Linked DNA regions of Oreochromis niloticus. Each later gene encodes a partner of the first gene's protein in a complex. Links are inferred from orthologs where the notes say so. Each region holds a gene or a part of one and is shown on either strand. Other genes may lie near its edges.

Region 1 (11,868 bases):
TTTTTTTTTCAGGAATTAAAAAGAAAATTAAAAAGTTTGTTTCCAGGGGAACTGAAACGAGGGAAATCAGGTGTTTTAGTTTTTACACAGAAAATTGTTTAAAGGAGCTTAAATGGAGTCAGAGCAGGAGTGGGTTTAAAAAATCAGTCGATTTTAGTTTGAAGAAAGTGATTTCGATGCATTAAATCCTGAATCGATTTTTAAATGTAAATGTATTTTGCTAGAAACGCTAAAATCTCAGGTTAAATCTCACAAAACTATTTCAACAACCAGCAAACAGCCAAAACGGTAAACGAGAGCCGAAACATGTAAACAGAGAGCGTGGATCATTCACCTGACGTCACGGACGCGCCGTCAGGGCTGAAGAACGAAAGCTCAGTGATTCTGATGCTGCAGGTTTTGTCTCTCCAACCAAAATTCACTGAACCTGCAGAAAAAGAAGCTCCGAACTACGCTTCACACTTGATAAACATGCTCATTAACTCCCTCTGACTTTGGCTGTTTTACTTCCTGCACAGCTCTCTCTCTCTCAGTGCACTCAGAGTCAGTTTTACCATCAAATCTCTGTTTTCTGCATTATTCTCTGCTTATTACGCACCAGCCTGCTGCTGTGCTCAGTGCTGTCCGCCTCTGACAGTAAAGCCTCATTTCTGCTGTTCAAATTGAAGAAATGTAAACTTTTACAAAATGATTGCTCAGCTGTGTCTGTAATCAAACCTCTGTGACTTTGCATCAGGTCATGTTCACATGTTCATTCACGGTTTTCTTCTGTTTTGGATCTACTGCAGAATATTTTAAGGTTATCTGCTATAAAAAGTCAGGCCAGGAAAATCTGCTTCGTGATTTTCTGTTTTATCCTCAGTTACTGTGACACAAAGGCCTCTGCTGTGATGCTCACACCTCTGATGGAGTCTCACAGTGTCAGCTTTGGTTTATACATAGATATAAAAATATGGAGATGAACTGATAAATAATCAGAATTAGAATATTTCTGACTGTCTGAGTCAAAACTGAACTGAATAGATTATAGAAATGGAAATCGATACCCGGCGCTCAGTCGGAGCTCTGCAGCAAACACGCGGAGACAGCACGCGAACGGAAGCAGCGTTTAGTTTGACACATGTGTCGCTGTGGAGCCGCCGAGCTGCTTCTAAAGCGACGAAGAAGAAGTGATGTAAACAGGAAGTTGGGCACGTACGTCCACAAAAACTGTCGTGTCGAATATGTGGATAAATATGAAATTCAGCAAAAGCTGTTGAATACAGAGGAACTGCCGAAGTTTGCTTTAGTTTAATCTCGGGACGTTTTTCTTAGTTTGGGGATTTTTCGCTGTTTTTGGGCCGTTTTCCGGTCATGTCCGGGTCAGTGAACCCCACAGGAGAGATGAGCAACGCGCAGTTATTCCAGCAGGTAAATCAATTTATTCTGTTGTAAAATAAATGAAATGTAAACTTTTATCACAGCGTGTGTCACGGTGAATTAGGCGTGGCTGAAACGGTCCAATCAAAACGAACAAAAAGACTTTTAATAAGAACAAAGACAATTTGATTATTCAGGAATCTTTATAGGTTTCTGTGAAGGTTCTCAGTCATCCAGCTCATCGTAGTCTCAGGAGCCTGGAAAGAAAAGCGTCTGGACTTAATCAGAGAAGCTTCTTCAGTTCCAAGAACAATTGGTCCCACATTTGAAACCCCGTGGGAGGGTCCCTAACAGGGTCATGGACCTTGTAATCTTTACAGGTGCAGGCTCACAGGAACATCAAACTATCAACAGAGTCAAATTAAAATCTAACTCAGCTGAAAGGAAATACACAAATACTCCTGAAGACACAGGTACACCTGAGTACACCTGCAGCCCTGCAGGTGTATTCAGGTGTTATCCTGTCCCACTTCCTTTACCGCGGTCAAGTGAGCCGTCATTTGTGACCCGCGGTCAAGCCATCCGCTTCTTATGTATTATTGTTGTGTAAAAACACAACAATAATACAAAGAAAAGCCCAACAATTTAATTACCCCATATAAGCTAACATTTAGTGAGAGTGGGAAGGAAAAACTCCATTTGAAGAGGTAGAAACATCTGGCAGAAACAGGCTCAAGGAGAGACAGCCATCGACTGTGACTGACTGAGGTTGGTGGAAATGAGACAGGACAACATATACACTGTGCAAGAGAGCAAGAGATACATACTAACTAATGATTAAATGCAGAGAGGTGTATAAACACAGATCGAGCAAAGAAGGAAAAAATTCATACATCACGGGAAGCCCGCAAGAGCCGAGGCTTATTGCAGCACAAATAAGGGAAGATTCAGGGTCACCTGATCCACTCTGACTGTATTATTTGTCAAGACTGAAGGTTTTAATGCTAATAACAAGAGCAGAGACGGGTGTTTGTCTTCTGAATTAATATTGTGAGCTGCATCCACAGAAGAGAGGCCTGAGAGATGAAGACTCTGATTCCCGTTCAACCTTAAAATTCTATAGGAACCACAAGTACACCTGATATTCCAAAATTAAAATCTGGATTTCAAAGCAAGTCAGTGAAGACAAGCAAATATGGCTGAAATATGCTGTCATGACTCTCTCAGCAACACTTTTGATCCATTAATATTAAACAATAATTGATGCAGCGGATTGAGATGAAACCTGGCCCAGAGGTACAGTAGGTGTCCCAGAGGAAGAATGTGTTGAAAGCTTGGCATCAACTATTAAGGAAGATTTTTAATGAATTTTTGAATATGCAACCCGACTGTCCCGCTTTGGGATGTCCCAAAGCATTGTATGCATGCGTGTGCATGTCTGAGTCCGCGCGCGTGCACGTGTCACTGCTTGCGCGTGTACTTGTGCGCAGGTCTATGCTTTCGATCAGGAAATAAGGAGAAAAGGCGCTGCCGTAAATGCCGGTGTAGAAGCGCAAGAAAATTAATGCGACGGAAAAGAGGCGGCTGGCTTGACTGCGGCTCACAAATGACGGCTCACTTGACCGCGGTACTTCCTTTCACACAGGCAGCAGGTACACGCTTTAGGTCTGTCAGTCTGTCTGTCAGCAGCTCTTTTATACCCGGAGTTAAACCTGAAGTCACCTCCCGATCCACAGTCCAGGCCTCAGCCTCTGTACACCAGCGTGTTTTTCATCCAATTCATTTTTAAGTTCAGTCCCTGCTCCTGATTGGCTGCTGAGGCTCACCTGCACAGAGGGATTCTGTGTCTTTCTCCATCAGCTCTGTCTTTGGTCTAGTTTTAAGAGTTTACGGGAGAATCTGTTCATCTTTTTCACTTTTTCGTGTTCATAAAAACACCTGTGGCATGTCAGCTGGGTTTACAGGCAAAAACTCTGTGATTGGTTCTCATCGTGTTTCCTGCAGGTGGCGCTGCTGCGATGGTTGAACTCTCAGACTGAGGAGGACCGGAGGATCTTGGCGGCAGTGACGGGCGTCCAGGTCGGCAGAGAGCTGCTGAATCGGATCACCGGCCAGGACAAAGTTGATGCCTACAAGGTACAGCGGGGGGCGCCGATCACATCCGCCACTCTGCTCGCGTCTCATTTCCTCACGATGAATGTCGTCCTGTTTTGTGTCCTCAGCGAGACTGTGTCCTGAGCATTGCACAGTTCCTGCGGCAGAACCCGCGAGCCTCGCAGGCGCAGATCAACGCCGAGGTGGAGAAGAACGTCCTGCTGTTCGCCGCTCGAGTCAAAGCTCTGGAGACAGCGCCGATTCTCTGAGTTATTCTGTGAACGCTCCACATTTCCCTCGAGTGTGCTCGCTTCATACTTCAAACCTTTGTTAGTTTGTGTTCTGCTTGTGTTGTCTGCTGAGGCCATGCTGAGTTCAACGAAAGCTACAGGATTTGTTTCCACATGAAGAAAAATCTGTTTCCGCCTGTGACTCTTCACAATAAAAGCTCCAGCTAATTCCAAGCCTTCTGTGTTCCGACTTGTTTACAGAACAATAAGTTCTGCACTTATTCAGATCTTCAGATTTTTATTTCTGGCGCACAAAGTTCTGATTGAGATTTTTGTACATGAGTTTCAAATGTCTAGAAATCTGGAAATGTTACATTCTGCATTCAAAGTTTAGTCATCAACTGTCTTTTACTGCTGAGGTTCATTATTTATGAGTCCTTCTGCAGAATGGGCTGATTTTAAAATCCTGATTGGAGTCAAACGTCCTGGGCTGCTTCCAGACAACAGACTGTATATTTATTAGTCCTTTATTTATCCAGGTAAAAATCTCATTGAGATTAAAAATCTCATTTCCAAGAGAGACCTGGCATCATGGCAACAAAAGTCACATACCACATAGGTATATAACATTCAAAACAAATACAATATCCCATACCAACATGTGTAAAATATACAATAACAGATCAAATTAAGAGTACATTAAAAACAATCACACTGAGTAAAAGAGCTGTTCTCTCGTTCCTTTAAGACAGACTTAAACTCTCCTGAGGTAACCAATTCTGATCATTTCAGTTCCTTCTGCAGATTATTCCAGGAAGCAGGGGCAGCGTATTTAAAAGCCTTTTTCCCCAATTCTGTTCTGACTTTTGGGACAATCAATTGTATGATATTGTGCGAACGAAGGCTGTATTGGTTGTGATTTTTACACATATAAACACATAAATAAGATGGAACCAGCCCAAGGAGAGATTTATAGATAACGAGCAACCAATGGGAGAGTCTGCGAATATGCAAAGATGGACATTTAGCAGCAGCATACAAAGAACAATGTTGTACACGATTTCCATAGCCAGTAATAAAACGTAAAGCACAATGGTACACAGTATCCAACCTCTTTAGGTAGTGGGCAGGTGCATTCATAAAAAGCAGGTCACCATAATCCAATAAAGGTAAAAAAAAAGTTGCATGAATCAAGTGTTTTCTCACTTGGAGGGAGAAACAGGATTGGTTTCTAAAAAAGTAACCTAGTTTTAGTTTGAACTTCGACACAAGCCTTTGAATGTGAGTCTTAAATAACAAATTCTGATCTATAATGATCCCTAGATACTTGTAAGATGTGACCATTTCAATTTCAGTTCCTTGAATTGTTTTAATCTTAGGAGACGTAGCTAAAACAATTCAAGGAACTGAAATTGAAATGGTGGAAGTCACCCACTTTGAATGAACACATAGGGAACACACCTGAGACTTGTTCTTGGTGCTCAAAATATTCAGGGTGCCACATATGCACTCTTGGTGTGCAGTGCACACACTCTTCATATGATCCTCTTTTCAGACTAACATTTACAAAATAAACTCTGTATTTCATTCATTAAGACCTGAAAGTGTTGACTGAGGTCACAGAGGGAGCCGAATGCTGCTTTCCTTATGGGAGTCTTTAAGCCAGGGGTGTCCAAACTTTTTTCGCTGAGGGCCACATACATAAAAATATAGGAGGGGCTGGGCCACTTACTAGAAATTAGGTATATAACCTTAACTTTACTGTATTAAAAATCATTTAAAAGTGGTCAAATGTGTTATATTGTTGAATATAATTAAAGACAAAACTGCCTTCATCACAGTTTTCCATAAATGGATCTTTATTGATTTATTCAGAAAAAGCTTTGGTAGCTCATTCTCAGAACAGCAGCAGATTTCTTCTTGGACAGAAGATTTACAGCACAGAGAAAAAACAAAAAAGGGGAAAATGGGACGGGTACATTTCAAGTTTGTTATTTAAGTTATTAGGCTTAGCAACACACCTGTTAACGTTCGTTTGAAACGGTTATCAACATTAACAGACTGAACTGGACTTAATAACAGGAGTGCATATAATTTTAGTCAATTATTCTGGTGAGTATCAGCTGCGCTGGGTATGTAAATCGGGCCATCCAGCTGCGGTGCTGATCGTGGCAAAAATCCGGACAAATGTCACTTGACCAAGGAGCAAATCTGCATCAGATGAGATCAGCTGACTTGCGTGTGCGTGCGCTGTGCACAGCGGTGTTTACTCTGTGTGTTAACAAGAAAAACGCATATAAGAAAGCGGTGCGCAAAAGCAGGGTAGTGACAGAATTGATGCGCATTATTGATATTTGAAGCATGTGTACCTGCACATTAACACACGGGTACTGTGGAAGATATTTTTACTCACCTAAAGTGCTCGTGCTCTCGTCCACTCCTCGCAAAGAAATTAGCAGCTGTGCGGCGTCTGTGGCATCAGTGCTCTCATCACATGCGATGGAGTAAAAATCAAAAGCACAGCTTTATCACACAGTTGCAGTTTAATGTTGGCTGACGAGTCTGACGTTGTTGAAGTCCTGCACTTTTTCCGGGCGCATTATTTCGGTGACTTTAACGAGGCAGTGTTTTATGAGGTCTCCATCTGAAAAAGGCTTGCCGTGTCTTGCGATGAGTTGGGCGACCTCATAGCTGCTATTGGAGCCCTTTCCTGGACAATTTGAGCACGAAAAAAAAATACTGTTGCTGACCCTGCAGGAGAGCTAGCATTTGCTTTAATTTCTGCTCTCGCTCAGCACCAGTGTAGGATGCATAGGCCTGATGTTTGGTTTCATAATGACGTCGTAAATTATACTCTTTCATAACTGCCACAGTTTCAGCGCAGATCAAACAGATACACTTCCCCATGAATTCTTTGAAGAAATATTCACTCTCCCACCTTGTCTGAAATTTTCTGCATTCACTTTTTATCTTTCGCTTCTTTGGTTCTGCCATGTTTAGTAACTTGAGAGTAAATTTCTTCTGTGATTGTCCTTTTTGGTGGAGCAACTGCCTTGATCAACAGCAGCTCCCCCTGGTGTTAAAACTAAGAAGTGCAATACACTCAAGCAAAAGTTGGAGTGCGGGCCATATTCTATTCAATTTATAAAATTACTTGCGGGCCAATTAAAACTGGACCGCGGGCCGCAATTGGCCCGCGGGCCGGACTTTGGACATGCCTGCTTTAAGCAATAAGATGAGTCGCCCCCTGCTGGCCATTAGAAAGTATCCAGGTTTAAGCTTCACTTTCATCTTTAACAGTTATGAGAGTCTAAGACATTTTTATTTTTAGCTGTTTTACATCAAAAACTCAAAAAGCTCAAAATAAACAAAACATGCTTTTAAGTCCCGAGAACATAACATCAGAGAGGAGAGAAACAGTCGGCTTTACCCTGTCCAGCCAGGAAGCATCAACCATGTCACCTGCACATGTGTGTGTGGAAGGAATTTTTTTTTTCAGTAATTGAGGGTAGACAATGGATGAAATACGGCGTTTTCCAAAGCTCGAATTTCGGTGATATTCCCTGGAAAACCTCAAACTGAACTGCTGCGAATGTAAACGTTTTCCTTCTCGCGCGTGTTGCTCGGCCGCTCATTGGCTGAACGTTTACTGGGGTCCCGCCTTATAGCACTCACCACCGCTTCTCCGATTGGATAACGTAGTCGTGACGTCCCCAAAGCGTCATCTCTGATTCGCTGTGACAAACCGGTGGGGGATGATCCTCGAGTTTAAACATAGAAACAGGTGGCGGCTCCTCGGAGAGTTCGGAGTTTAGTTTGAGGACAAATAATCGTTAAAGTCGTAGCTTCGAGCAGTTTGTAGGCGGAGGTACAGCTGTAACGGCGGGATGGACGGGGCATACGGTACCGGAGAGGTTTCGCAGATTTCGGAGAAGCTGGAGAAGTAAGTAAAGCTCGAATCGTTAGCGAGCGGCTAACAGGCTGTGCCGTCTGAGGTCCTGTTCAGGGTCCGAAACACCAAACATGCCACCGGGATAAAACTCACGGTACTGGGACCGTGGAGCGCGTGTCGGGGGCTCTTTTGATTGGTGGTGGAGAAACGGATGGAGGACAAATTAAAGGCAAATCCGAAAGGACAGTGAGCCGCTCGGTGTTTACGTTACTGGCCTCAGATATTTGGGTGGAAACCATCTGAGACTGTTACACTTGAACCTGTAGTCCACCCGTCAGGTGAGTCTACCTGTGAGCACCTTCTCTGCTGAGCTTTCAACGTAATCAGCCATAAACCTGAGAAGGTTTTCACACAGACGCTTTAGAAAAGCTCAACCATGAGAACGAGAGCGGCTATGAGTCAGATCTGATCTGGGGTTTTTAAAGGAGACGTGGGGGGAGGCCGCTCTGTTCACAGCTGCAGGTAAAAGCCCGCAGGTGTGAACATGCAACTGAAACCAGAATCAGAACCCTTTATTAATCCCTAAGGAAATGATGTGGGTCACAGTTGCTCCAAGACAGTAACAGATTAAACTATTTAAGCAGATTTATGGATGTGTTTTTTATTCCTGGAGCGAAGGCTTCAGGTGTTCTTCAGGTGAGGGTGAATATCTGGTCCTGTGGCTCTCTGAGTGGACTCTCAGGCTAAATATGTGGGTGTGTGAACTCTGAATTGCTGCATGCTTTCGGTCTGACACTTGGTACCTGTAATGGGAGGTGGTGTTACAGTCAAGCAAAAATCTCCAGATCAGTGAAACTGAATGAGAAGCTTCATTGTTTGTGGTGCTTATTTATCGGTTTGTTTGATTTTCACTCCGACTCTCTGCAGGTCTTTGTCCATCGACACAGAAGAAAGAATGGAAACTTACCACAGGTACAACACACACACGCGCACACACACACACACACACACACACTACTAATCTAATGCAATGACTCGTCACGTCATTTGTGGCTGTAGGTGAAGGCAGGATTTTCTTTGTCCTGAATCTGGGATCAGTAACTGTTCAGATGAGTCGCTGCTCTGCAAAACCCTGAAGTAGACCAAAGCCACGTTCTTTCACTATTAATGTGTGACGATCAGATTATGGCTGCCACGATTAGTCCACTATCAAAATCATCGACTAATTTAATAGTCGATGATTCGTTTGAAGTTTTGTAAGATCCTGAAAGACGCAGGAATAAGTAGTAGGATTTAAGAGTGTAATAACGGACTGAAACAGAAGATGCCAGCTGCCGTTAAACACCAAAGAAGAAGAAGCAGTCTCCGATATCGTAGCTGTGTCCACATTCAGGGGCTGCATCCTCCTGAGGCCGCATTTGTAGGCCGATTACGTTACAGCGGTGTGACAAAGGCTGTCCCAATTCGTAGACTCTGGGGTCGTGTCCAAATTCATGGGCTGCATCCTCCTGAGGACCAGGAGCGGATCTAGAAGGGTGGCATGGGATGGCAAGTGCCACCCTAAAATGATCCCTTGCCACCCCAAGTGCCACCCCAGTTTTGCATATGACAGTGTTGTTTATTAAAATAAGATAGCATTAACAGTTTGAGCGTAGTTACAGTCAACAGTGAATATAAATGCTAAAACTGAATATATTGCAGAGTGCCCCCCCCTGCACCATTAACAAATGGTTCAGCCCATATCAGGACCGGCTTTTTTCTTGTTTTCAGTAGCAAGCGATGCTTATGATTGTGCCAGAGCACATTTTGAACAACACCATGGGAATTTCAGATTTTACACAGGTGGTTGGATGTTACACTCTGGAAATGGAAGGAAGGTGAGTGTTATTAACCCTCTGTGGTCCACGGACACGCTGCACCTCCAAATCACATGACTGATGTAAGCTGACACAGCAACAAGCTGCAGCCACACTGAGTCTCTATTTCAGCCCACGTTGAAAGTTCGGACTTCAAAGTTTTTACATTTTAATTACAGGCCAGTAAATCCAGAGTTATGATAATATATATAAGCCACGCTTTTTACTAAATACTGTCGTCACGTTTTTGTGTGTGTGTGTTTTAAGCGTTTTCTAAGGACAGCGAGAAAACAGTAAAGAAAGGGGGGGAAAAAAGCCACCTCTTTCCTATCGGTGGAAAAATGCACCATGTCAACCAATTTATTAAAAAGTCAACATGTGGGATTTTGTTGTTTAGGAAGGGGGGGGGGGGGAGAGAGAGCTTAGTGTGTTGTGTTGTCTTGTGTAGTTGTTCTGTTGTGTAGTCGTTTTGTTTTGTGTGTCAGTGAGGGCACTAATGATGTCACTAAGGCACATTTGCAACGTAAACACTGTCACTAAGTAGAAAACCAGCGGAGTGATACACCTGCTGTTGTCAGGCCTGCAGGTTTGTCCCTGTGCTGCTCTCCTCTGTCTTTTGGTGGACAAACTTTTTTTTTTTTTTACTGGCACACATCATTTGTGGGGCATCTTATTGCGACACCTGATTGTTCTCTCATTTTAGTTTTAGTAGGGCTGCACGATTAATCGTTAGAAAATCGCGATCTCGATTCATACATATGTGCGATCTCATTTCCAAATGACAACGATTTAAAAAAAAAAAAAAAAAAAAAAAGACGACGACGATTGTACCGCATTTTGATCCGGGACGTAATCTGCATGAAAACAAGCGCTCACCCTTCCTGCTCAACAAATGACAAGGGCGGAGCCTTATACCACGTGATACAGAAGCTGTGCCGTGATGCTCAAATTGGCAGGAAAAAACAACGGAGAACACGTCAGGGATGACGAGAAAGTGACAGGAGAAAATCCGTCCCGGTCAACCACCCAAACATCAATAACGGGAACCTTATACAGCGCTTCCCCATAGCCGTCGAACTCCCGCAGGCACAAAGAAATTACGGAGGCTATCACTTATCACCTGACCAAAGATATGGCTCCCATCAACACTGTGCAAAACGAGGGATTTAGGAAAATGATCAACACCCTAGACAAACGCTACACAGTGCCGTCACGCAACTATTTTTCAAACGTTGCACTACCTGCTCTATACACGCAGTGTCGAGCAACGGTGGAGACGGAATTACAAGCAGTACAACATTTTGCAGCAACGACAAAATGTGAGACAATTATTGTTTTTATGTTTATTTATTGTTTTTATGTTCAGTCTCAACTGTTACGAAGTTGATGTGCAGTTAATAAGTGCAATAAATATTTATATTGGAAAAGAAAATCGTGAGAGAATCGTGATCTCAATTCTAAGCAAAAAAATCATGATTCTCATTTTATGCAAAATCGTGCAGCCCTTAGTTTTAGTAATATTTTTAAATGGTTGTGCAAAATGAAAAAACGGCAGGTGTATTGGCTGCATTTTTAGATAAATAGTTGTATATGTTTACAAAATGTACAATTTATATTTGCATTTCAAGTTATATAAATTTACTCAACATGTCTGTGGGGTTTTTTACAGTAAAGAAATACTACTAGGATTTTAAGTTCTTTGTGTGATTTCAGATCAGTAATACTAATGCAGTATGTCAGTGAAAAAACAACTAAATTCAGTTGAGCTGAAACGATACCAAACAAGGCAAAGGGGGAAAAATAAAATGAAACAATTTGAGGGTGAAATACAAACGTAAACTCAAAAGGAGTCAAAAATGTCCGGTTGTATTTCAGACCTCAGAGGGTTAATCCAACAAATCATGAAAAATTAGGTTAAAGTTTTTGTTCATGACAGTGCAGATTTCTGACATTTTGTGTAATTTAAGCTGTAACAATGTGATTGTTTTCACAGTGTGAAACTTAAGTTAGACTTGTGTTTGTAAATGAACCGCCCCATGTTGTGTAGCTTTCTGGATTTTATACTTATTGGGCTCCATATTTATTTATTATACAGCCTATACAGTACATAAGATCAAAACTCACATGTTTTTAACTAAAGTGTGTAATTATGTGGGCTACAGACAATAATTAAGTTATAGACTATATTTATATGAAAAACGTGTATACTTACTGCATTTGAATTATTTTAACCATATGTAACCACCTGCATATGTGTTTGAAAAAAAAGCCTTGATTTTGCCACCCCATTTGATTTCTTTGCCACCCTCTTGCCACCCTAAGAAAATTTCTCTAGATCCGCCCCTGCTGAGGACCCGGCCTTCACGGTCTACGTGGGCCGGGTCCTCAGAAGGTCAGGTAGGCCGGAATTAAACAGCTGTGAAATTGGACGGTCTAG
Region 2 (12,377 bases), on another chromosome or scaffold:
AGTGGTGGCACGATGCTACATCAGTAACTGCGATGGAAATATATCACGTCCTTGTGATTTGATTTCTGTTCATAGAGCAAATGTGTGATCTATGCTGTTAGCTACTATCATTATTATTGTTATAAGGCTACAACATTTATCAACAGAGTATGTTAGAGAAGCTATGACATGTTTGGCTTATAAATAGGAGCGGTTGTAACTTTTTTATCGAACAATAATAAAGACTACATAAACTAGAACATCTACTGCTGTAGCCAAAAAGGTAAAATATGAGTAAGAATACTACTAAAGAAACTCGCAACAGCTTGGCTTCTTCCTACAGAGGACAGTGTGTAGAAGTTCAACAATGCGATTTCAGCTTATATACTGTGCAACTGTTTTTATGACAGAAAGTGTTGGGTAACTGCAGAGTACTGTAACTAGGACACAGTGCTTGACCTCTTGGCCTTTTTAAGAATGTCACACTTCTTGCGATTGGGGCGCCGGCAGCGTTCGTCGATGCTTGGCACACATTCGTAGTGCCACACCTCCTCCATCTTATCCACAGGATACACGGCTTCCACATAGTGACGGATCAGTCTCAGTCGAACAGGGTCGAGCTGCTTCTTATTGCAGGCGCCTGAATGGTTGTACTGCAGCCGCAGGTTCTCGTGGGTGAAGAGCTCGGGGAAGAGGCGCACCAGCAAGCGGGCGGCAAAGTTCCCAACAGAGAGACTCTGCTGGACAATTTCCCGTACCTCGGTATCGGAGAGCAGGTAGATGGAGGGAACAGGGAAGTCTGGTTTGGACACAGTCAGCTCATCAAGGGGTATTTTGCAGAAGTCTTTGCTACTTTTCTCAGGAGGTAAAGAGGGAATATCTGGATCCTGTCTGCCGTTATCAGGATGTAGCTGGTTCAGCTGGCAGAGAAAGTCCTGCTCTGTCTCCTGACCGTACACTTTGCGCTGCTGCAAGTAGGATCTCCTCTGCTCCGTGTCACGTCTCCTGCACCGCTCGTCAAGTTTGCCAACAAATTCCAACATCCACACTCTGTCGTTCTTGGCCCGGGGGTAGACCAACTGCACGTAATGACGGATCAGGTTTACGCGAATGGGGTCGAGTTGCTTTTTCCCAAGAGAACCGCTGCAGTTGTACTGCTTTCTAGCGTTCTCGTAGGTAAAGAGCTCAGGGAACATGAGCACCAGCAACCGAGAGGCAAAGTTCCCAACAGACAAGCTACATTCATAGTTGCTCTTGAGCTGTTCCCTGGACAGGATGTATTCCTGGGGAACAGTAAAGTCAGGCAGAGGAATCTCCAGATTGTCAAAATCTACAGGCGTGAGCAGCGACTTTTTAGACTTGCGACTGGGTCTTTCATATTCACTCACTTCTGGAACCTTGATAATTGAAACATCTTCAGGAAGACTGGCCAGTTCGTAGCCCTCCTCATTGATGTTGTCCGGTTCACTCCCGTTGCCGTTACTGTGAGGACCCTCGAGTGCGTCTTCCATATGCTGAATGCACACCTGCAGCCAGCTGTCCTCAGGCACATCAGGGAAATTCGCTTCCATATACTTTCTAATTATGTCCATCTTGTCAGAGTCCAGAATTAGCTGTCCTACACTACTAAAATTGCCGCAGTCTTCTGGTATTTTCCCCTCTTCAAAAACTTCAGGGAAGAGACGGTGAATTAGGAAAACAACAAAGTCTTCTGGGGAGGAGAACTCATCCAACTCCTCTGTGGCTTGTGTACCAAACCCGACATCTGAACCAGCCAGGCTGCCCTGTTGGTGATCTAGAGATATGTGCTCCTCCTGACCCTGTTCATTAATGAAACGAAAGGTTTGAGGCTGCTCCGCTTTTACGCCACCACCTGTGACCGCCTGCTTCCTGAGCAGCCGGGCGCTTTCCATGTCCCTCTGCGCCCAGAAGCGATTAAAAAAGTCATTAATCTGGAGGAGGCACTCTTCCTGCCACACGTTGTTGTTTTTTACCGTGGGGTAGCACACCTCGACATAGTTTCGAATAAGCTGCAGATGTAGAGACTCCAGCGTTCTTTTGCTCGCCATGCAGTCGTGAGAACACTCCCTGGCTTTGAACAGCTCTGGGAACAGATGCACAAGCAGTCGACAGCCCAGTTCCCCAGCGCTTGACGTCTGCTCCATCAGCTGATTCAATTCATCGCTGGTTAGCAGATACTCGGGGGGAGGCTGGAACTCTGTCACCATCTCAGCCGGTTTGATCTGCTTCTTTATCCTCATGACTTCCAGCGTCAGCAAGTCCACTTTACTGTGCAGCTGCGTCATGCTTGAATTCAGAGTGTTGAGAATGAAAAACATTTTCTCAATCAGTGGATAAAGGCTGGAGTCCGCTGTGGAAGCTTGGCCTAAAGTGTCTGTGGAGGGGATGGTCTCTGCTGGGCCATTTTGCTCCGGATTTTGGAGCTTGGATGAGAGCATATTGTTGAGCTGATTCAAGCTGCCAAGACTCGCCTGCTGCTCCAGACTCGGGGTGTTCCTCTTCTCCGAGATCCGGTGGGAGATGCTGAAGAGAGGCTTTCTGTAGGAGACTCTAGATTTCTCCTGGATGCAGTCTCTCTTCTCTCCGGTTGTGGTGAGGCAAAGAGGTTCAATCCTGCTGCTCTCGTCTATCAAGTGCCGTCTCATCTAGACACAATAAATGTCAGTCAAGGATGTGTAATAACATATAAGATATTGTTTTAATCATGAGTTGAGCTTCATTTACCTCGCTAGACACCCTGACTCTCTTGCTGCTAGTGGACTGGTCTGCGTCAGGTCCCATCTCTGCAGATGACCGTTTCCCAGCCTCGGCAGCTCCAGAAGATCCTCTTCCACGTACCTGAGGTTGTTCACTAATAGCAATGTCCTCCGTCTCCTCCTTATAATCTTGGACATGCTTGTGTTCTGCAAAACAATGCATAATTTATTTTACTGCATACACTATAAAAATAAATAAAAACATACTTTGTTAATTTGTGAATTTTTCCTGCTGCAGTTGCAAAGATAAGAATGCAGAACTTGCCTTTTTCAAGCATTGCTTCATCTGAGATTTCCCCATGCTCACGGGAATTCATAGCCTAGATAAAAAATTCAGAAAGTTACTTAATATGCACACACTTAATACATCAACGTGTACAATGTGACAGTAATGTGTGTAATACACATATTCTTAGGTTTGGATAAATTACATGGAAAGGTTATTAACGCTAAAATTAGCTAATGTACCTGTCCACCTGTTGTTCATACCTTCTCTTTACAATTAGCAACTAATCAGATAAAAGTGTCCTAAAAGAGAGAGGAAGATCTAAGGACAATTGTAGCTTTGCAGATGAGTAAATTGTACTGTACGATTGTTTGAACAATTTACTCATATGGGTTACCACTTTGCAAAGTCTGGAAGAAGGCCCACACTGTCATCCACAGATGAGAGGAAATTGGTCTGGATGTTCAGGAACAACCCGGGGAACACTGAGGCTTAAGCCTGCCATGAACTGCAAACACTAACATCACTATCCACAGTGAAGCCACACGGACTGACAGGGTGCTGAACAAGAAAGAAGCCCCTCCTCCAAAAACGGACACCTTCAAGCTTAACTGTAACTTACAGCTGGCCAAAATATCTTCTGGAGAAAAACTTGGTAAGTTAGTCCGACGAGACAAAGAATGAGCTATTTGGTCACAATGATAAGAGGTATGTTTGCAGGAGTAAAGGTGAGGCTTTCAAACCTAAGAGCACTGTACTAAATGTCAATTGGTGGTGATAGCATCATGCTGTGGGGCTGTTGTCCTGCCAGTGATACAGGTATTTCATTGCATTACACAAAGTGGATGGAATAATTAAAGAGGAGGACCATTCCAACTTCACAATTTTCACTTGGTTATCTCTGCGGTTTAAACACAATGCTCTATAACTGGAGTAATTTTTAACTATCTGTAACCATTCTTGCACATGCTTCTTTTTTAAAAATAAAAGATTTAATGATGATTTTTTTGAGCTGTGATTCATGCAAAGCTATGTTAGTAGAGTCAAAGAATACAAACATGACGCCTAAAATGAGCTTGATGATTATAAAGCAGTTATCAAAGTGGTAAACTACTGTTTTCAGTTAAAATACATACATGTTGTGGCTGGCGTGTCACCCTCATAGCAAGCACCATGTGACCGGTTGCAGCCTTGTAGCTAAACACACACACACACACACACACCTCTGTGTTTGCCTGAGTATTTTATCTCAGGCTCGTGAGGCTGATATAAACGCGTAGTTAATGCCTGCACAGCTCTGACCCCCCCTGTTACCTAAAGTCAGCCCGTTTTCGGTGCATGCCTCCATACAGAGTTCCCTCCCAGCTCCCCTCCAGCGTTCATACCCCGCTACTTCCTCATTCTTCCGCCCATGAACCCTTGAACCACAACACGAGCCGAAGCCGCCGTGTGGCCCGAACTCTTCCACAAACTTGGTGTTTTCAGAAACACTGCGCGTATTTACGCGTCGTTTCTATAACACCGCCACATTTTGTTTGTGAAATTTAATGACGCGGCAACGTTTGCGTGGACGACTGACTGCCTGCCTTACTGCCCCCCCCCACCACCTTCCCTCCTACCCCCGTCCTATTCCTCCTCCTGTGCCCCGACTCTCGCTAAATTAACCGAAAACCCGCGTGACCAGAGGTTTGAGCTCACCTTCACTAGTCCATGCCTCCCCCCGGGACCGTCAGCGACATGTCCGCAGACTATCACAGCAGTTTGATCCGCAGGTAATAAAAGAAGGTAATTCTTCTTGTTGGTGTTTTTTTTTTCTCGCTCGGCTCCTGTGCTTTCTCGCGTGACGTGACGGGCGCGCGCCTGCTGTGTCACTTCCGCACAGCTGTGGAAGAAGAGACGGGTGAAAAAAAGAAAAAGGACCACAGTTACAGTTTTACATTGTAAATGCACAGGGCTGCCGTTACACTCTTTGAATTGTATTTAACTAAGAGTCCTCCAGGTAAAGAAGGGTTTGAATAAATAACCGAATAATAAAAAATAATACTCAACATGCTGAGCAGCTGTTAGCCCACGCGAAAGACACAATCACGAAACATTATAAAACATATTCCATGAATTAACACACACACACACACACACACACACACTGGACACTTTTGTTCAACTGCTCTGAATATTTTTTCAGCATATTAGTTATAATAGTTTATAATATAATATTAGTTTTGCAATTGCTAATTAGTTTTTATTTTTCATTCATTTTGATTTTTTGTTTTTACTTCAGTATAGTTTCAGTTTTGTTTCAGTATTGTTATTATTTTTTATTATTATTACTGTATGGAGGACATATGGCAGAGGGAAGATTTAGGAAAATCAGTACATGTTTACAATAAAAACATACGTTTTTAAAGGCAGTTGTCTTTTGGAAGAAATATGCCCATCAATGCCTCGTCGTCAGGCAAACCAACAGATATTAAAACTACGCATATTACCTCTTTCGAGGTAGTTTTATTTATTTTTTCAAAAGTCTAGTTTTGATTTTATTAAGCTATATATATTTTTTTTTTACATCTTTTTTTAATTTAGTTTTAGTTAATTATAATAACCTTGTCTGTGAAGGTTCTCAGTCATCCAGGTCATCGTAGTCAAAGGAGCTTGCAAAGAAAAGCGTCTGGACTTCTTTAAGTTCTTCTAGAAGAAGAACTTAAAGAAGTCCAGACGCTTTTCTTTGCAAGCTCCTTTGACTATAATAACCTTGCTAACCAGCCAATCACATAGCAGGAACTGAGTGCATTTAGACATGTAAACATGCTCAAAATGACCTATTGGAGTTCAAGCAGAGCAAGAAAGATCATTTCTTTGAATATGACATGGTTGCCATGGACTGGTCTGAATACTGGGATCTTCATACACAAGCATCTCCAGGGTTTCAGGAGAATGGTCTGAAAAAGAGAAAATTTGTGTAAACAGCAGGAAAACAAGGGATCCATCCTGACTTATTTCAAAGACTCAGGCTGTAAGCACATGCAAGAGTTTAAAAGAAATACAGTCTATACAATAAATACATTAAGTCATATAAAAAAACCCACATATACAGCAAAGTACAAGGCCGGGGCTGTAGTACAATGAGCTGCAGATTATTAATGACAGCAGTACTGATTCTTCTTTAAAAGGGATTCAGTTTAATTAAGTAAGGAATACCACAAGTTGGGCTCCTACATAGAAAGCTCTTGAGTTTTCTATTTCTCAAGAGGACAATGATCACCCAGAGAGACTGATTATATAAGCACTTATAAATACATTTAAGATGAGTAAATGTAATAAAATTATAGAACCTGGCACATGTAAATTCTGAAGAGCATGGAAATAATGTGTCTCATCAGCTTCCTCTCCACAATGTTGATTGCATGATTGTATATCATCATAAGAGGCTTGATTGTTGTAGATGCAGCTTGTGACCGAGAGGTTAGACAATGACTTAAAATGTTTAAAAAAAAAAAAAAAAAAAAAAAATCACAGCATGCATACAACTCTTTCTTTTATTTTAAAAAATACTTGTGAAGACATGATTTGAAATATCCAGTTTGTAATAGCAAAGAATCCTTCAAATAGATCCTGCATGCAGAGCTGGATCGATTTATTATTCAAATCTTTTCATCCAGACAAAAAAAAAAAAAAGACTGAATGAGTAAATGAGGGGCTATTGTCAGCACCACTTTGGCCACTAACAGCATTATTTGTCTGTTTCATCTCAACATAGGCTACTTGCTCTCAGGAACCCTTCTGTTAAAGTAGTTTATTTTACTTACTGAGATATTTTTCATCACACTTTTGGCAAATTTATGTATTTTACACATTTGCTAAACAACAATTTTTAATGCAGGCCTTTTTTAGTGATGCTTTTTAAAGTCGACTGTTTGTCCTCATTAGAACAAATGATCAGCACGGCATCTCTGTGTCACTGTTAAATAACATGTGAGCACATACTGTGATAAAGGCTGCAACTAGCAAGAGAAGTCATGTTGTATTCAACTGTTGTATTTAACTGTATGTTGTGGTGTCTCTTCAATATTTTTATATTCTGTTCATACATTTATTGTTCTATAGGCCAATACTATTTCCATTTTGATGGCATCTATCTATCTATCTATCCATCCATCTATCCATCTATCCATCCATCCATCCATCCATCCATCCATCCTAATGTAACTAATCCTAGATTATACTAGGGAGGGATGGTTTTCTGCCTCATACTTCCTGTGTATTTGCAGTTCCTTAAGTAGCTGCCATATTGTTTTGCTAGCTATCAAATTTACTTTATGGTTAGTTCTAAAAGCCTTGCTACCAGTGCAGGCGGGATCTCTGTGAAAATAAAACTACAGAGCCAACATCATGTGGACAAGATCGCCCTCAAGTGGAAAAAGGCAGTAAAACCATGTGAATCTGCTCTGTGTGTAAAACATGGGGACAACGTCATTGTTTAACTTTAAAATATTACATTGTGTTGATGATGCAGCTGCTTTCTCCTCCAAATATACTCAGAGCCTGATTTGTCTTGATTAGTCCTCCAACTTTCTTTTAAAGGATTGCTGACTGTCATCTTGTGTACTCATAAATACTCTGTTTAATACCTGTTGACCTCTGATGGCTGCCATCATTCTGGATGTGAAATACACTGTGGCTTAACACTGTATACTGGGTGCACTTCTGATGTCATGGAGTATACATAATATTAAAGAAATAGCGCAGTGTTCTGTTATTTGTTGTAATTTCCAGACAGAGAAAATGAGAAAAGCAATATCAGTCTCTACGGCTTCTAAAAGAGCAGCTGGTTACAAGAAACAACTAAAACCAAAGGCCCAGCCTACAATTTCCCCCACAAGAAGTATAAATGCCTTCAGACAGAGAGTGAAAATGTAAAAAAAGTGAAAGGTGAGGAGTATCAGATGCTCTCATGCCAGGGAGAAAACCACCCCTCCCTAAAAGTGAACCAACTGTTAGATTGATGTAGAAAGCAACAATGTGCTCAGCAGTCTTTAAGCGTTCAGTGTTCTCTAAGTAAGATGATGGAGCTACTCAGACCTATCAGATGCAGTCGTAGATGTGTGGCCAGCAGATCTGCACAGCCTGTAATTATGGACCATGTTTACGCGTGTGAACAGGAAATGGATTTGGACAAAGAGTAGCACTACATGATTATAGTGGATGCTGAAACTACCGTTAGAGGAATATATTTACCCATGAAACAATAATTCGATCCACACACTGAGCTCTTCACAACAAACTCTCTGCTTCTCAGTTGGCGTAGAGAAGAAGTCACGCCAACAAGTTTGCCCCACTTTTTGCCTCATTCTGAGCCACTGAAAAATGTGCCATGGGTTTTGTTTTTTTCCCCCTTGGTTTTGTTTCGCTCAGATTCAAGCTGAAAAAGCTTGAGCTCAGATGCATCATTGCATTCATTTGGCATCACTATCCAGACCGAATTCAGTCATAACCAAAAATTCTTTTTGTACACAAGTGAAAGAGGAAATTTTTATAAAAACAAAAGCAATTCAATTCAGTTCACATAATGCCAAATCACAAAAGTCGCCTCAAGGTACTTTTTATTGTAAGGTAAAGACCCTACAATAATACAGAGAAAACCCCAACAATCAAATGATCCCCTCTGAGCAAACACTTGGTGACAGTGAGAAGGAAAAACTCCCTTTTCACAGAAAGAAACCTCAGAGAAAGAAGAAATCAGGAACAGGGAGGGGGCAGTTATCTGCGGTTGAAAGTCAGGTGGTTATGTTACGGTTAGAGATCGCTAGGTCTACTGCAGAGCTAACACAGTGACAGACAGCTGTTCACATTTACACCTATAACCAATTTAGAGTCACCACTTAACCCACTGTGCATGTCTTTAGATTGTTGGAGCGAGACTGAACAACCCGGACAAACTACACCGTAGAGATGGCCTTCCTGAAAAGAGAACTGATGTATGAGAACAAATTGCTGTGGTATCTAAAATACTGTTTTGCCTCATTCACTCTGTCTACCAATGAAATTCCAACAACAGTTTGTCCATCAGTAATAACAGAATTAAATGAAAGCCTGGGTTTAAGATTGCAAGGTCAAAACTGCAGAGAAATATTTGTAACACAGAGCTGGCGGCAGCAGAAAGAAACTGTGGGAAATGATTAATAAGAGAGGGAAGACAAATGGAGGTATGGCATATTGTTGCAATCAGGAGAAGATTTTGATTTGTAACGGGCAGAAGCTGTTAAGCAGCACTGGCTTCCTCAGATGTCACTCAGAGATGAACAGAAGACCTCACATAATTCTATCTTAATCATCGGCTCTTTCATGCACACAGTGGCACACAATGTTCTGTCCTCAGCCACAAATATGTCGATACCGAGATGATATAACAAGACAACGTGTGGCTGGTGTGGTTCTCATTATTCGACTAATGAGCTGTCTCCATGGCAGTCTGATCTGTCAGCCAATGAAGCGAGTAGGCCCTGTGCAGGGGGAAGAGCACAGCCCAGGGTCAGCCAGGCGGCGGCTTGCGACGAGGGGCCGGCGTGCGGCACTTAACACGGGGAAGAGCTCGTTAAAGTGTCATTTTTGGTCAATATGCTCGTCTGTGTGGAAGAGGCCAATCAGCCATACTGTTCCCATCTCAGGAGAATGACTTTCATCCATCACCGTCAGCTATATGATGATATTAGCAGGTGTTTACTGATAGCCCATTCAGAGGAAGACAAATGGAGATTCTAACATCCTTCCACGCTTACATTCACTCAGTCATTTTACATTCAGGCTTACTCGTAATAGGGTCACATAGAATCAATCCTGGTGTGGATAAAGAAGGGAGGCAGGGAAATATTAGGTCACAATCACTGGTGTGTAGCCAGAGACTCTGACATCTATGTCTGTGAAATTTAATCCCCTACTTAGAAATATGGAGACTAAATGAAGCCAAAAAGCTTGAAATATTTATGTCATTTTTATAGTGTAAACACCTACATTCATCAGCAGTATGAAGTATGCACAAGTATTGGGTGTTATGTTACTCTCCATAGCATCAGGCTACTTTTTCACTGTAACAAGTGTTAGCTTTCCATTTAAAGTAATTAGTTATTTCTTCCTTTTATGGCATTCTGTCTCCAGCTTGTTTGCAGCCATGGACAACCTGTTGTTGTCAGTCAGGCCAAGGTTGTTAATTTTTGCTGTGAAGATTTTGAGGATTTTAACACCGGAGTTTATTGGCGCTTCTGCAATGGCTTCATGGCTTTTAGTTAATCTAAATCTGCTGATTTTAGGGCCACTTTTAATCCTTTTAGTGGCACCGATTTGAAAAGAAGTCTGAACCCTTGCTCTGAGATTTCCATCTATATAGACCAGACAGTATTACATAGGTGTTATAGCTTTGTTGACAGGTTCTTCCTAAATGCACATCTCTGACTTCATGTCATTGTAAAGGTAACAGAGTCTTAATGTGCTATTAGATGATGGCTACACTGTGTTCATAACGGGATAGAGATGGTCAGTAACAATACTCAGGTAGGCTGTGGTGTTTCAGGGATGCTCCTTCTTGCTTTGAGGCAACAGAGCCGAGAACTGCATCACATCACTGTTTGTAAAGGTGGTTGTGGGAGAAGGGGATCACCAGTTCCTATAATTCTCAGCTAGCACCTGTTTGGCACCACCCTTTTGTTTGTCATGCTCGATTTGAATGTTAACTCTGTTATTGGATGGTTAATCAAGGGTGTACTCTGGTGTTTGCACCGGGACTCTGGGATAGGCCTAAATTGGAAAATTGGTTAAGACGGGATGGAGACTTCATGCCTTAATTAGGGGTTCTTCTTTTTTGGGGGGACAGATGAACTGTTATAGGAGAGAATATCTTCAAATTATCTGGTTTATGAATTAAATATTTATCCAATTTAAAAAAAAAAAGCAACAAGGAGGTGGTGATGGTTGATCTGACAGGTATACTTCAGTTGGACAGACAGAAGTAGTAAAAACATAACCTAGAAAACTTACTAGAATATTACAAGGTGCAAATATAAGAAAATTACTAAAGCACTCTGTCTTCTTGTAAAAACACAGATGACTAATTTTTTATCTGAGAAAACTGGCAAAAAACCAGAAAAAAACCCTTCGAAACATTCTTTTAAGTATTAAAATATAGTACATTTGGAAAAAAAACCCTGAGCTTATTGTACTGAAAACCTTTGAAACATGGTGTCTAAGCAGATATTTACTCTGGATGTCTTTAACTTGGCCTCTGGTAACACTGTGGGGAATCCCGGAGTCATTTATGACCAGGATATGTCCTTCAACACCACATTAAACAAATGTGCTGGACTGTTTTCTTTCATCTGAGGAATAAAAATGAGAAACAACCTGTTTCAGTGTGAGGTTGGAAACTAGTCCACACATTTGTTACTTCTAGGCTGGACTCTTGCAATCCTTTATTATCTCCCTGAAAAGCTTCTAGTTGATTCAAAAATGTTGCAGCGAGAGTGCTAAGAGGAAGTACAGCAAATTATTGGACGTTATTTTAAGGACCATTTGATCCTTTGGATTGGCTTATTAGACATATGTTTTAATAAACAGCTATCAGGTGTAATTATTAAATGTATGCATCAGATTTTAGAAACTAATTTCCACTTTAGGGCTAATGAAGGTTTTTTATGGTCAAAGTCATGAATGTACAAAGTTTTTCATTAATCCTTTTTATTAATAGGCAATAAAGCTTTTGAATTCATGACAATCATGAATTCATTATTGTGTAAATATTAATTAACAAGAAATTAATGCATGTTATGTACAATGACCCAAATCATTATAATCCAACTGAGAACAACTAAGATCAAAGAAAGAATGACCTAACCTAAAACAGCTGCTACTACACTTCCCATGATGCATTCTTGGCTGCATCTTTAAGTAGGCGCTCACTGGTAAATACCCTAATCTTCCAAACTCTCCAGACTCGTTTTGTCACACAAGGTTTCTCTTAAATGTTTAAAGGCTCCCCCACAGCTATAGCTGATGTGTTTTCCCCCCACAGGCTTGAATAATAATCTTCATTATGAGTAAACTGATCTTCACGTGTAAAGCAAACTCAGTTAAATTTCCCTCTAATATTAAGTTTACTTTTAAACATTTAATAACAGATTTTTGGTGATGACGCTGTTCAAACTTCCTGGTTCACTTTGAGGCTCTCCGTGTGGAGTTTGCACGTCCTCTCTGCACCTGCCTGCACTGGTTTACTCTGCTGCTGTTTGAAGGGTTAATTGCTGGTTCTTAAATTGGTCGTAGGTGTGGACGTGAGACTGTGTGGCTCTCTGTATCTCTGTGATGAACGGGCAGGCTGTCCGGTCTTTGCCACGCCTCTCGTCCTGTGG

Evidence for each region.
Region 2: the proteins of ercc6l (region 1) and bend3 are in contact, whole or in part, in a crystal structure (PDB 5JNO), measured with the Homo sapiens proteins. The link is inferred for Oreochromis niloticus from reciprocal best matches to the Homo sapiens genes ERCC6L and BEND3. Residues at the interface, in NP_060139.2 of Homo sapiens: Ala10, Glu11, Ala12, Leu13, Ser14, Pro15, Glu16, Ala18, Ala19, Tyr21, Leu22, Arg23, Lys26, Phe51, Pro52, Asn53, Glu54, Lys55; in NP_001073919.1 of Homo sapiens: Glu252, Gln255, Ile256, Gln259, Leu261, Asp265, Arg269, Val272, Gln273, Pro276, Phe279, Ser280, Phe335, Arg338, Phe339, Gln342, Glu346.

The regions. Positions count from the first base shown.
Region 1 is NC_031977.2:38,169,514-38,181,381, reverse strand, and holds the start of ercc6l (DNA excision repair protein ERCC-6-like), read left to right. Parts: upstream 1-7,395; 5' UTR 7,396-7,570; coding exon 7,571-7,626; intron 7,627-7,658; exon of another isoform or gene 7,659-7,913; intron 7,914-8,502; coding exon 8,503-8,547; intron 8,548-11,868. Other genes in the region: uncharacterized protein LOC100698890, read left to right, coding at 1,354-1,410, 3,364-3,495, 3,582-3,722. UniProt on the Homo sapiens protein: DNA helicase that acts as a tension sensor that associates with catenated DNA which is stretched under tension until it is resolved during anaphase. Functions as ATP-dependent DNA translocase. Can promote Holliday junction branch migration (in vitro).
Region 2 is NC_031983.2:24,802,863-24,815,239, reverse strand, and holds the start of bend3 (BEN domain-containing protein 3), read right to left. Parts: upstream 4,860-12,377; 5' UTR 4,681-4,859; intron 3,077-4,680; 5' UTR 3,074-3,076; coding exon 3,022-3,073; intron 2,904-3,021; coding exon 2,725-2,903; intron 2,646-2,724; coding exon 420-2,645; 3' UTR 1-419. UniProt on the Homo sapiens protein: Transcriptional repressor which associates with the NoRC (nucleolar remodeling complex) complex and plays a key role in repressing rDNA transcription.